Kluyveromyces lactis: one gene and its partners. The protein of the gene in region 1 purifies or fractionates together with the protein of each later gene. This does not show direct contact. Links are inferred from orthologs where the notes say so. Each region holds a gene or a part of one and is shown in the gene's direction. Other genes may lie near its edges.

Evidence for each region. The genes of interacting proteins can lie anywhere in the genome.
Region 2: the proteins of QCR9 (region 1) and COR1 purify together in Saccharomyces cerevisiae (affinity purification with mass spectrometry; 3 studies listed by BioGRID). This does not show direct contact. The link is inferred for Kluyveromyces lactis from reciprocal best matches to the Saccharomyces cerevisiae genes QCR9 and COR1.
Region 3: the proteins of QCR9 (region 1) and QCR2 purify together in Saccharomyces cerevisiae (affinity purification with western blotting; 3 studies listed by BioGRID, with this or other methods). This does not show direct contact. The link is inferred for Kluyveromyces lactis from reciprocal best matches to the Saccharomyces cerevisiae genes QCR9 and QCR2.

The regions. Positions count from the first base shown.
Region 1 is NC_006042.1:1,407,604-1,412,029, reverse strand, and holds QCR9 (ubiquinol--cytochrome-c reductase subunit 9), read left to right. Parts: upstream 1-1,968; coding exon 1,969-2,037; intron 2,038-2,536; coding exon 2,537-2,743; downstream 2,744-4,426. Other genes in the region: E3 ubiquitin-protein ligase UBR1, read left to right, coding at 1-1,574; protein translocase subunit TIM13, read right to left, coding at 3,435-3,740. UniProt on the Saccharomyces cerevisiae protein: Component of the ubiquinol-cytochrome c oxidoreductase, a multisubunit transmembrane complex that is part of the mitochondrial electron transport chain which drives oxidative phosphorylation.
Region 2 is NC_006041.1:506,589-511,674, forward strand, and holds COR1 (ubiquinol--cytochrome-c reductase subunit COR1), read left to right. Parts: upstream 1-2,569; coding exon 2,570-3,907; downstream 3,908-5,086. Other genes in the region: ECM13 (Ecm13p), read right to left, coding at 1-501; PSY4 (Psy4p), read right to left, coding at 4,748-5,086. UniProt on the Saccharomyces cerevisiae protein: Component of the ubiquinol-cytochrome c oxidoreductase, a multisubunit transmembrane complex that is part of the mitochondrial electron transport chain which drives oxidative phosphorylation.
Region 3 is NC_006038.1:321,966-326,797, forward strand, and holds QCR2 (ubiquinol--cytochrome-c reductase subunit 2), read left to right. Parts: upstream 1-2,570; coding exon 2,571-3,653; downstream 3,654-4,832. Other genes in the region: RPC82 (DNA-directed RNA polymerase III subunit C82), read right to left, coding at 1-1,684. UniProt on the Saccharomyces cerevisiae protein: Component of the ubiquinol-cytochrome c oxidoreductase, a multisubunit transmembrane complex that is part of the mitochondrial electron transport chain which drives oxidative phosphorylation.

The DNA.
Region 1 (4,426 bases):
TGGCTGTCTACACACGATTAACTAAGCATACTGAAGAGAATGTACTCAAATTCTATGAAGATATTCGTAGCAGCAATTTACCAAGTTATCCGTTTTTCCGAGTTGTTGAAACGGTATTAAGGTCTAGACTTTCCTTTAAGGATTGTTTACAGGAAGTACTCGTGGAGCGTTTGAAGGGTCTGACAAAAGACTTTGGGTCTTTCTATAGGAAATATGAATCCGAGCTTCGAGCCCAGACTTGCCTTGACTCCTCTGAATTTTCAATTGTATTGAAAACAACGATATTAGGAGCTGGATTTGGTGATCAAGTTGAAAAGCACACCTTGGATTTGTTCTATACCTTCTTAATTTCTGAATTGCTACCTACGCTAAGGAGATCAATTATCTTGCTGAAGGCCTTAAAGCAATTTATGACAGGGGGGGATGATTTAGATTTTAATGAAAAAGATGTGCTGAGTGGTAGCCTTACTTCCGAAAGCAAAGAAAAACATTTCCATCTTTTGATAAGATTTTTGCTCCAGACTGATTTTTATGACTTGTTGATGAATTCGCATTCTCCTCTCTCCCCTGAAAGCTCCTTGGTTAATGCTCCACATGAGTACTGCAGTATCATCAAATTAACCGATTTAGCAACTCATTTGAATACTTATGTGACTAATAATAAAAACATTACTTTGCGTGAAGAGAATGATCAAAAAATTAGAAATACTGTCAACAGACTTGATTATAAAATTTGTTTGATATGTGGTGTCAAGATTCACGCACGTACAGATGGCCTTGAAATGCAAAAGCACATGGAAAGGTGTTCCCATGGTTCCAGTGGGTTGTTTTTAATTCCTAATATCAGTCAAGTGTGCCTCTATTTAAGTAGACCGGACTGTACCGTCAACATTTCGGCCCCTTATTTGAACTCACACGGTGAATCAGGAAGAAACGCTATCGAACGAGGTGATCTAACAGTATTAAATCATGCTAGATATGAACATTTAACTCGTCTTTGGATTTCAAATGGTATCCCCGGTTATATCAGCCGAGTAATGGGGGACGAATTCAGGGTTGCGATGGCAAATAACCGAACATTTACGAGGAACATGTTTTGGAGACCTGGTGCTGCTTTCAACGCTGGTGGGGAGAGCAGTGACGAGGACCTTATGAACGATGATGAGTTTGGGAATGATGATCGTCCAGATCTAAGGTTTAGACAGCCTGATGTTGAATTACGCATCAATGGTGGACCATTCGGTGGAGATATCCCTATAAGATTACCAACCGAAAGAGGTGACATACATGATTTTTTCGAGTTTGTTCAAAACATGAGAGGGGGTATGCAAGGTGATGGCGCAGACATTCCGACTACAGAAGATATCATTGAACAACTGCAAGGAAATGCAATGAATGGATTCTTCGGCCGTGCAGATAGAAATAGAGAGCACTTTGAACTGAATGATCAAAGTGACGGCAATGAAGATGGTGAGGACGAAGAGCACGAAAACAACGCTTCGGAAGATCAAGACACGGAATACAGTTCTGCAGAAGAAGGTTTTGATTTCAACGAGTTAAATAACGTAGAATGAATAACTTTTTGCTCGTCACACCTCAAAATTGCCTTAACCTTATGGCACCATTCACAACTTCAATGTACCAAATATATATAGAATAGCACGTTATTTCGTTTATGCACACATCGATATAAGATATTTTTACTAGTTTTGCATAAATCTGCAATATGTGGAGTGGACTGACCACAGGATACTATGCCGTCCAATATCTTACAGAATCTTTTATTGTAGCCTGACTCTGTCCCACCCTTTGATAATTCATGTTGAAAGTACTCCCAGTACTAGACTTTTGCACGTGATTACTTCTGGATATCATACCATACGACCCAATTATATCCGAGTACGGAACTTTTCTTCAAATTTTTGAAAAACTGGATAAATGTATAAAACGGAAAGCTAACTTCGACTGATGCCAAAGACAAGGTTTAATAAGAAAAAGTTCAGCTCAACAGAAACCAGAACTCCCGTTTTAGAAATGGTATGTTAATGATTTGATTAGTCATGGATAATACATATGATATGCGTCTTTTCTGGATCTGAAAACATTGATTTTGGCGTAGATGTCTTATTTGACTTCTGGAATTGAGAAACCGAAAACTGGGAACTGAAAAAACTGTTTGTAAACACGATGCAAATTACATTGAGCAGATGCTAATGTACAATTATACTATTATTAGTGAAATATACTTCCAAAGCTGAATGTCTGCATATCCCGTGGTGTTTCCGATGCCTGTTAAGGTTCCCTGGAGGTATGACCGATATCTCCATATAATAGAAAGGCAGTCTCAATACTACATTTATCTTCGAAGTACGACCATGGCTTATCGCATGTATATCAGTTACATCAAACAAGTGAAGAATGGACACCTTCTGGGCAAAATCCAGCGGCTGTTTTCCCAGATCATTGCGGATTGACTACATGAAATATTAGATCATATTACTAACAATTATTTTTCTGAACAACTTAATTATCACAGTCTTTCGCCTCTACTCTGTACAAAACTGTCTTTAAGAGAAACTCTGTTTTCGTTGGTACCGTGTTCGCCTCTGCCTTCGTTTTCCAAGCTGCCTTCGATACTGGTGTGACCTCTTGGTACGAAAACCACAACAAAGGTAAGTTATGGAAAGATATCAAGGGTGGTATCATGAACGGTGGTGAAGAAGATGAAGAAGACGATGAATAAGTTTCTTTTGACATTTGAATTATATCATTTCTCATCATTATACTTTTAAGTGTCTTTTCATTGATGCTTTTGTTCAATTATTTTACTTCTTAGAATATACCGTCACTTCAAAACATATTTTAAAAATGTGGATACGCTACTGTCGGGAAACATTTATCTATCCGGCACTCCATACGTCTACCAGGCCTAGGACATCAACTTTGGAATGATGTTCTCAGATTTTCATAACATTCATCCTTTTCGCTATCGGAATCTCACTCGATTCAAGAGATAAAAAGGGTAAAACATATATGACCATAAAGCGTGAATATCTGCGCATTGATGTTCATCTTATTTGTTGTTAGCTGTTTTTCCCTCTACTCCTATTTATTTTCAACTCACTTATTTGAAATCTCATCAATCAATCACATATGCGGCTCAATTGTATTTAAATACAATGTATTGTTTGTGCTGTTTCTGTGTATTAATCATGTCTATACGATAATAAAAAAGAATTACCCATTATTTGTGTACCAATACCGTACTTTTGTTTATATATATATACCTGAATTTATTCGACGGGTATGAAATAGCATTCATAATGTATGATTATACGTAAGACGCGAATATAACATTATACAAATCTATATACATGTAGCTTGTAATGAATCAGAGCATTAAATAACTTCTTTTATCTCAAAAGTTGCGCCCCTTAGATTTCACCGTTAACCGAAGCTTGCTGAATTCTGTTAATGTAAGCCTTTGAAATGGCATTCCAACTTCTCATATATTTAGCCAAACATTGGTCGACGCAGTTATCTTGAGAAGCAGCATATGGAGCATTCAGACATTTCTCAAAACAGTTCTCAGTGACTTTGTTAACTAACTCGGTAGCATTGGCGATGGCTAATTCTTGAGAGATTTGAGATTTAAGTTGGGTCTTGACATCGCTAGGACTGGATGTGGCTGGGGTACCAGATGATGAAGAGCTACCACCAAAGATCGAAGTTAAAGCCATATCTTAATGTGTTCTATGATAGATTATTGATCCGATGCAATGTTCAGAGGGGCCTGGATGATAGATTATAGCTGTTAATTGTAGATTGCCAATGGATATTTCAGTTTATGCTAAAGCTTCAAATCATTAGTTTTTTTTTTCAATATGAGGAAGAAACATTCCTTCACATCGAGCAGCAATGGAAGGGATAGATAACTATTGTTTCAGCCCGTTTCACAACCTCTCCTTTCCTGCGATTTACCGCGTTATTGGAAGATATGTTTGGAAGTTCCCCAGAGTGATTTACTTACTAATATGAACCACTGTCCAAGTACTTGTCACACGGAGCATATATGTAGTCGCATGATTATCATTACGTTACTGTACCCCAAACTTAGTACAACAGACATCAACAAATACTAGGCATCGGTGGTTTAGTGGTAAAATCCAACGTTGCCATCGTTGGGCCCCGGGTTCGATTCCCGGCCGATGCATTCTTTTTCATTATTCAATAATTTATTGAGCACTCAATTTTTTTATCAAGCGTTGCTACCTATTTCATAAACTGAATCCACTATAGCATTTCGATTCATTCAATGCAAATTCAATAGTATCGGTAAGGTTTCACTAACGGCTCTCGATGTGTTTCTTACTCGTTTTCTTTTATTGTACAGAAAACCCATCTTTACAATTCTCAGCATGAATCC
Region 2 (5,086 bases), on another chromosome or scaffold:
TGATAGAGAATATTTTGGATCAAGGTCTTCTGAATCATCTTGTAGATCTTGTAATTTTGCAAGATATTTGGAACGAACATTCGATTCGTCATAATCTGAAATAGAGTCTGATGACGAAGAATCTGAATTTGTTCCCAAATCAGAATCAGAGTCGGATTCAGAGTCAGATCCAGAGTCAGACGACACATACGAATGATGGATGTGCTGGTACTTTGGGGGAGCGTTGTCAAAATCTTCCTGTTCTTCATCGCTATCGCTATCGCTATATTCATCGTCATCAGCTTCTTCTTCGTTGTAATGGTAGTCATTTGATGAACTTCTGGAGACGATATCGTCGAATTTGGCTACTGAAGAGGAGAGTCTATCGAGTAAATTAGCATGGCCTACTAGAATTCTCAAATCATGATCTCTTCCACTGTTTTTATTTGCTGCGGCTAGTAGCTTGCCTTTAGCCCTTGAGGCAAGCATATATTGTTGTGACAGACTTAATATGGTAGCCATTTTTTTTTTAGTATGTTCTTTTTGGTGGCAGTTATCTGTCCTTAATACAGTAAAAGTTAATTCGCTCTGGAGTACCGTTTTGATGTCGTTGACTATAACTAATGACGTTACTATGGGGCGTCAACAGATAATCTCAGCCAGTGTCAGATAATATTTACACCCACCCGACATACATATATATATATATAAGTAAAGACGTGACAAAGCAATTCAGATATACGTGGATATTTGATAAGGCCCGCAAAGTATCCGAAGCGTTTTATAACCACCTTTGACACATCTCAAAACGATAAACTTCTCAGCTTTGTAAAACTTAAAACCCGTTCCTGAGATGAGCCATTATTATTACAAATGCTTTTTTTGCATTAGTGTCGCTCGAACTTGCACCTAGCACAAAACACCAAACACATATTTTTCGGCATTTTCCCCTTTCCATTTTGACAAATGCAATCCAAAGTACATACCATGAAACTGACAAATGCACAAAAAAGCACTCAACTTCCTCACAAAACCAAGCAACGAACTCCGAGCCATTCTGAAAGCCAGACTGAAAGCTACTGATAGGATTATCAGTACCAACATGTGTTTACAGTCTGCTGACCCTTGTTACTCGTATTTCCTAGCATGCAAAAACGTAGAAAATCCCTTCCATGTAATAAAATAGATCCCGCGGAGCTATTTTACCACGGCTGTTAACCCAAGAATCCATGTCAAAAGAAAACTGAAATAATACGGGAGGCATTCTTTCAAAACTGGCGGCAAGAACAACAACCGTTCCGGACGGGGATTACATGGGAGTTAAGATATTTGGATCCTGATGGACCGACCATTTTTCAGCGCATTTTGCTTTGCGGGAATAAGCTCCCTTCTAAATTTCTTAGAAACCTTGCTTGAAGAAGTCGTAAATACATGCAGGGATAGTTGGCGAATGAAATGATGATTTTATTTCCGAAGAGTAAATCCGAATGGATATTCGTTGCGGTGTTTTCAAGGCGAGAATCGAACACTTACACTGTACGCACAAACCACCAGCAAGCAAGCAAGTAATCAAAAAAAAAAAAAGTACTCATTTGGACTTTGGTACTTACCCGAATCTTTCTATTGTGCGGGTAAGTGTAATTTTATTCACGTGAGTCGAATTTCAATCTCGGTATTTGATCATCTTTGACGAACCAATGGAAATCCAGTTCGGGCATCGTATTTCACGGTTCATTTTTCATTCAAAGTTTACCGCTTACCATAGGAAATCGAGCATTTCCACTGTTTATTATGGGAAAAGAAATGCTGGTACCGATACTTCCGTAACTGCGAGATGAGCGAGAAAGAGGGATATGCAATCCCAAAAATGTCGATTTGATTGGAAATGTTCGAGCAGATGGAATTAGCAGTTTTGGGGCTAAATTCTCGTCCCGAAAAGTACTCGCTACTATGTAAATTTTTGTTTTTCGGACCAGTTTCTCGGCCAGAAACGATTTTAATAATTGTTCAAAGGGGGTCCCCTATTAATTATGTGGACAGGTCGTTGTCCAATGAAAGAAAATCTCTATGCTACAGAGAAGACAAAGAAGAAGAGGTAAAAAAAAAAAATTATGGAAATATCGAAAAACTAGACAGCGCTCTCAGTATCAACATTTTTCACTTTTTTCATATAGTGTAACCTTCCAAAATTAAAAAAAAATTAAAAGTAGTTAGATAAATCATTGATATTTGTTTAATGAAAGTACACTAACTTTATTTAGACCTGTTTATAGTTTTCTACTCTTGTATATTGCTTCAGTCAAGTGTGCACAATTTTAAGGAAATTGAGAATTCAGTTAGGCTAAAAACTATCCAAACTTTGCTTTATATTTTTTTCAGTGAAATACCACTATACTGTTTTTTGAATCGATAGTATACCAACAGAAAGGTTTCCAAGGAAAAAAGTAAACGAGAATTATAACTTCGAAGGTATTACATTTGGGAGCTCATTGACTTGTTTTTGATCCCGTATTCTATTTATTTTGCACGTACAAATTCAACACACTATATTGATTAAACGGATTATAACCAATTATTTGCCATAAGAAAGATGTTGAGAACCGCTACTAGATCTTCAATCTTGAAGAGAACCATTGCCACTCAAATTACCCCAAAAGCCATCGTCACCGAACTATCTAACGGTGTTGTTGTTGCTACTGAACCAAACAGCAACTCTGCCACTGCTGCGGTCGGTTTGGTGTTCGGTTCCGGTACTACTGCCGAAAACCCATACAACAACGGTGTTTCCAACTTGTTGGCTAACTCCTTTGTCAACTCTTCTATCAAGGATGCTCAAAAATTGGGATTCTCCTTAGAAACCAAGGTTGGCAGAGACCACCAATCTTACATTGTTAACTCTCAACCAGGTCAATATGCTAAGGCTCTAGAATTCTTGCAATCCAAGCTTTTCGCTCCAATTGAGGACTCCGTCTTCGAAAGTTCCAAGAGAGCTACTGTAGACACTGTTGCCAAGTTCGAAGAAACTGAACACGAACAACGTGTTTTCGAACACTTGCACGCCACTGCTTTCCAAAACACTCCATTGTCTTTGCCAGTCAGAGGTACTGTCGAAACTCTAGAAGGTTTGGAAAACATCGACTTGTCCAACTTCGTTCAAAACCAATTCAAGGCAAACAACTCTGTTATTGTTGGTACCGGTAACGTTAACCACGATGAATTGGTCAAGGCTGTTGAAACTAAGCTTTCTTTGCTATCTGGTGACAAACCAGTGCCAAAGAAGAAGTCCACTTTCTTGGGTTCTGAAGTCAGACTAAGAGATGATACTCTACCAAAGGCTTGGGTATCTATCGCTGCTGAAGGTGAACCTATCAATTCTCCACAATACTATGTTGCTCAAGTCGCTGCTGAAGTCTTCGGTACTTTCGTTGCTGCTGAACCAGCTTCCAACCTACAAGGTGTTAAGTTGATCGACGAAGTTAACGAATACCACTTGTGTGACTCTTTCGAACACTTCTCTGTCTCTTATAAGGACTCCGGTTTGTGGGGTTTCAGAACCACCATCACCGACCCACACAACATCGATGAAACTGTCCATTTCACTTTGAAGCAATGGAACAGATTGTCCATCTCTGTCACCGAAACTGAAGTCGCTCGTGCTAAGTCTTTGTTAAAGTTGAAGTTGGCTTCTCAAGTTTCTACCAACGCTGCTGCTGCTAACTTGTTGGGTGCTCAAACCTTGGTTTTGGGTGCTAAGCCAGCCTTGGCTGAAGTCTTCACTAAGATTGACAAAATTACCTCCAAGGATATTAAGGCTTGGGCTTCCGAAAGATTATGGGATCAAGATATCGCTGTTGCCGGTACTGGTAAGATTGAAGACTTGTTGGACTACGTCAGAATGAGAAACGACATGAGTATGATGAGATGGTAATCAAACTAAAAGCCGAGTCTTAAGATATTTTAACAATTCTTTTTATATTATATTCTCATTTCACGACGGTCATTCTAAAAACAATTCTCTCTTTTCTACTCGACTGAGTAGAATTACTCCCTGTAACATTTACTTTTGAGTTGTTATAACCATATCACTCGATGAGTAATAAGTTACAGTTTAATTTCATGTGTGTATATTCCCCCAAAAAAAGAAATTTGTCACGATCGATTTATATCAATATTTTACTGTTTTGGACTAAAGTCTAGGGTGTTTACTGGCGCATTCGATTTTTCGCTCTGTCACAGCTCCTCAAGATCAATACATTTAATGAACATAATGTATTTTTTAATTCCAAATGATATTTGAAAATTTAGGCTAAATCGAAATAAATCAAAATCTCGCTCATTATTCGTCGAAACAAAAATATGAGTTCAATGTCCTTATTTATGATACTGTCATTTACTGGTGAGCAATTGAATACATTTTAACCATCAAGACTTTCTCTTGAGGTAATCTGGAAATTGCGGTATTCAAGTCATCCTAAAAAAAAAATTCAACACTCTACTTTCTATATCGAAACCTGAAAAAAAACATCAAATTATTATAATTAATCCTGTCTGAAATAACCTACTGATATATTCATTTGATACTAAGAAGAGTGACCTTTATGTTTTCCTTGTATCACGGGAAATATTAATAAACTCTTTATTTATATTTATTTCATATGTATGAAAAAACTAACTGAATTCTTAAATTAAGGCCTTGTGTTTTTATTCTGTATCTAACATAATAGCGTGGAACTTCTTGATGATAACTGCGTAATCATGCGCTGCATGATCACATTCTTTTTTTGTCTTGCAACGGACTAGTAGATAACTCATTTTTTTCCGCTTGAGTTACTGAATTCGTTGTATCTGGAGAAATGAATGTATTTATCCTTGAATCATCGTTTCTGGATGGATCCTCCTGATTAGATACTACGGGGGATACCATAGATGACGATGATCCAAACTCGTTCAAGGGCATTTTACTTTTCTTTGGAGTTGTTATGAAGCCATCATTCTCCTTGGTTTCTTTGTACTGATAATCATCCAACTCGGTGACATTTCTTTTCCTCGAAAGAATGCTTTCATTTTCATCTTCATTGGCCGCGTGTGAACTGACGGATAAAACGCT
Region 3 (4,832 bases), on another chromosome or scaffold:
CAGCCCTATCTACAGTTCTTGGTACCTCTTGTATCTCTATCGCGTTATATTTGACCAAAGTACCGATGACAGTTCTAACGTCTTTCTCTCTCATAAGTGATGTAGTTGTAATTGTTCTTTCTGTACAAAGTCCATTGTCTCTAATACATCTTAATACTCGATGTGATGATGGTCCCAAAGTCGATGCGATTATTGAATCATAAGTAGATGATTTCAATATTGGGATTAGAGATGAGTATGGGACGAAAAATTGACCGGGTTTTGATTCTTTGATAAACGGAATATTCGCAGTTAACAGTAATCGCAGATGGCCATTCACTAACGATACAGAACGAGGATCACTATCATCTTCGTCGAGATCTAGGTTGGCATCTCCTTCTTCATTTTCTTCCTCACTTTCTTCCATAACGGTTGGCAATGGTGGTACTACGAAGCCATCTTCTGTTTTGATTCTTTTCTCAAATTGAGGTGGTGATTGGTTATGCTTTTGTTTTCGTTTTAATGACTGGTTTGAGTGAACTAGAGTACCTCTTAAATCCAAGTTGCTTGGGAGTCTTCTCGCCACATCAAGTGCAGTGAATGAAACACCTTTTACATTTTCTTCGTCAAGTTTGAGGTCTTCTTCCAAAGAAGTTCTTTCATCAAGGTCTTGGAAAAGGCCAGTCTTGGAAAGTGGATGACTCAACCCGTTGGAGTGTTGTTCTGTCATGGAAAGAGCTACAGCATAAATTTTGGATGAAGTAGTTCCAATTCTTGATTTGGCAAACTGGACTAACTGGTTTGATCTTCTTGATTTCAAGTATCTCTCCAAATTGAAAGTCAAAGAAACAGATTCATTAACTTTTTTGAAACCAGTTCCTGAATCTGTTAAAAAGATCTTACCATTTGAATCCTGGGATGGAGATGATACAATTCTGTTGAACTCCAACTTGGCCTTCGCTTTAGCCTCATTTCTTTTTTTCAAATCCGACTGTGTGGTGTTTTTCGGTAATTTCTTGTACTCTCGTAGATAAAGCATATTCCATAAATCAACGATTGGTGTATAATGGATCCCTTGCAAGGGAACCAAAAATTCCAGATCAGCCAATCTGACGAAAGCTTGGTGGATATTGAAAATATCAGTATCATTGGAATTGGATTCAGACGCTAAATAATCTTTTACGGTAAGTGATCCAAGGGCGAGAACGTTATGAATAATTTGTTGTGCGATGTTGACCAAGTGTTGCTCCTCATCCTGGTTGAAATATTGAACAATTCTGTCGCTGATGTCACCCGCATATAACATAAGGAACAAACCTTCTTCGTTAAAGTAGTAATAAAGGGTCTTACGACCAGAGAGTGAGGTTTCTTCCAAATATTGTACGCATCTTAATTGAATCAAACTGACCAAAACGGTTTTAATACTGGACAACGAAAGTTCTGGTATGAAAGAATGAATTTCTCTCGTGGAGAGTCTTCCTTTGTTGACCAACACGGATAGAACAGTACTGGCTCTTTCACCAAGATGGGATCTGGCAAGTTCAGAGTATAAAAACGAATCTGGGTTAAGAGTTCTCTGCTCTAATGAAGAGATATCGATTGGTTCTGGTGATGTGGATGTGGATGGTTCTGCGGCTGATACAACACTTGCACCACCATTTGGAACAGCCGCATCGGGGATCAGGGCAGCTTGGGCAGCACTCATGTCAGTGCTTGCAATAACAATTGTTTATTTTCCTACCTTTTCTACAGTCGAGCCACCTTGTTGCAGTAGTCATGCATGTATGCGATGAGATGAGATGAGATCAATTCAATTGATAGATTTTTTTTTTCTTTCAATACGAATGGATGGGTCTTTCAAGAAGATCGAAAGAAACAGGCAACATTATTGTAAGTCACGTGGTCACAACCACGTGACTTTTGTGTTTCTGTGTCACGTGACATCTCATCACTCACGAACCAATCATTTCTAAGAACCGTGTCCAACCATTTTTTCTTCAAATGGTTTACCAATACCCTTTCACAGTGCATTACGCGATTCCTGTCTGTTCCCTCTCACTCCCAGTACGTTCCGCTAAAACCCGATATCCCCTTCTTACTGTGACTCCAAGATGGTCTAAGCACGCTTCTCCTTTCTACAGAATCAGCTCGCTTCTTCTCTGATTCCTCTGTAGAGATCAGTCTTCACATCTCGAAATATCTTTTTTTTTTCAATTTTTTTTTTTTTTGTTAGTTATTGGATTTTATCGCATATAGCTTTATTCAATAGGTTCTTGAAAAATTTATAACAAAATATGACAATTCTACTTCAAAGTTTAGAGCTTTTTGTTTGAAGATTGGTTTTGATTACAGGTTTTGTAAAGATTTGTGATTGATATACTATTTTGATTACTTTGTTTTACTCGTTACTCTGTCAGTGTACTTTTTTTGCTCTGTTTCGATACTTATTTTGTGTGTGAGTAAATATTATTTGAGTTTGGACATTAAAGGAAAAGTAGAGGAAGACCTTTTGATTAACGCATAATTGATATTGATATTGATTGATATTCTGACTCCCAAAATTAAAAAGCCCATAAACATATAATATAAAGATGTTGTCCAGTAGATTACAATTTGCCCAGCAAACTGCTAGAAAATTCAGTATTTCCGCTAAAGACGGTTCCGGTAAACTATCCACTTTGGCTGTTAAGGTTCACGGTGGTTCTCGTTACGCCGACAAAGAAGGTATTGCCCACCTTTTGTCCAGATTCAACTTCCATAACACCGGTAACAAGTCTGCTTTGAGATTGGTTAGAGAAAGTGAATTGTTGGGTGGTAAGTTCGAATCCAGTGTTGACAGAGAATACATCACTTTGAAGGCTACTTTCTTGAAGGAAGATCTTCCATACTTCGTTAACGCTTTGGGTAACGTTTTGTACAAGACCAGTTTCAGACCCCACGAATTACCAGAATCTGTCTTGCCAGCTGCTAAGTACGACATTTCCGTTTCTGAAACTAACCCAATCAACAAGGCCGAAGACTTACTTTACAATGTCTCTTTCAGAAAGGACTTAGGTAACACAGTTCTATACAGAGGTGTCGAGAAGGTCACCTTGGATGATATCAAGGCTTATGCCAACAAGGTCTACACCAAGGAAAACATTGAAATTGTTGGTCAAGGTGTCAACGAAGCTGACTTGAAGAGATTTGTCAACGACTCTTTGATTGGTTCTTTACCAACTGGCTCCAAGTTGGCTGCTCAAGCTCAACCAAAGTTCTTCTCCGGTGAAGCCAGATTAAGTGCTCCAGGTGCCTCCGTTGCCGCTATCGCTGTTCCAGTTACTAAGGAACAGTTCGCTACCTACGAAGTCTTGGCTAAGTACCTAACCTCTGCTTTGTCCGAATTGTCTCCATTAATTGACTCAGCTAAGTTAGACAAGTACGCTAATGCCGGCTTGTTCTCTTTATACGTCAAGGGTGAGGATGCTTCTGTCGTTGCTGAAAACATAAAGAAGGTCGTTGATACCTTGAAGAAGGATGTCGACATTTCAGCTGCTAAGGAATACACTGCCTTGCAATTATCTTTGGAAAACGCTCCAATCGATGTCTCTAATGTCAAGAATGTCAAGTTGGACAAATTCTCTTACGCCGCTGTAGGTAACGTCGCTAAGCTACCTTTCGCTGATGAATTGTAAATTTCATCACAGTTAAAAATAACTCACAGATTTTAACCTTTCTCCTACTAGCCAAAGTTACACACATAGTACTTTAAAACTGAAAAAAAAACAACAAACAAACACACATATTCATGAGAGATGACAGAATCACATCACTGAAATGTTTAGAAACGATATTACATTTCTATTGTACATATTTTTTATTATCTTTTACCTTTCGTGGCTTTTGGAAACATTGCAACCTAAAAGAAACCAATAAAATTCAAAAACAAAACTCTCTAAGATTCAAAAGAACACCTTTAACCTTTGGAAAAACTGGTGATGTTAAAAGAGAACCCGTCAATATCTTAATCTTTTGAAATGTGCAGAAGCCACTGATCAAATTCAACAGTTCTGTTGATTCATACAATCCCCATCACTGCTCTTAAGAAAAACAATCAAACAGAGGTTGTGGTGATATTGCAAGAACGTTGGTTTAATACGTAGTGTGTCTTCTTGCCGAACCTATTTTTATTTTCACATATCATCTTAGAAACTTATCACTTATTTATTGAAGTATATATCTCTGAACAAATATCAGTTAACATATTATTGAGAACTAGCAAGTGGAAAGAATATCATAGATTACAGACAGAATAAAAAATAATAAATGATACATTTGGATAATTACTACAATTGACGTTCTAAAAAGAAAATCATAACGGAAATAATAAATTAAGTTAAGTTAAGGTAAAGTTTAACTAAAGTCTTTAGTGAATACTGAATGATTAAAGAGGTTCGATAACAGTTCTCAAAACTCCATTGGAAAAAGTAAATGATTACATTAAACATATGTAATCAAAGAAAAAAGATAAAAAGGCCATCCAACTTCTGAGAGCTCACAAACTGTCTTCGGTTGGGGAACAGGTAAGAATCATTCTAAAAGCTAGCACTAGAATATTACAATAAGGCATGAAAAACCATTATCCGTGCATTGGAAAATTGTACATTCGTACTTTGAAAAACGGTGATGTAAAGGCAATTGAATATTATAGTAACAACGATCGATTCCTGTTCAACTTTTTCCTGCAAATTAGATTCATATGAAAATGATAGAACATGTTCTGAACGATAGTGGGGAAAAGCAGGAAACTAAATAAATACAACTGCGAATGGAGAATATGAGAATCAGTAGCATGGCAAAATTGGGATGTAATT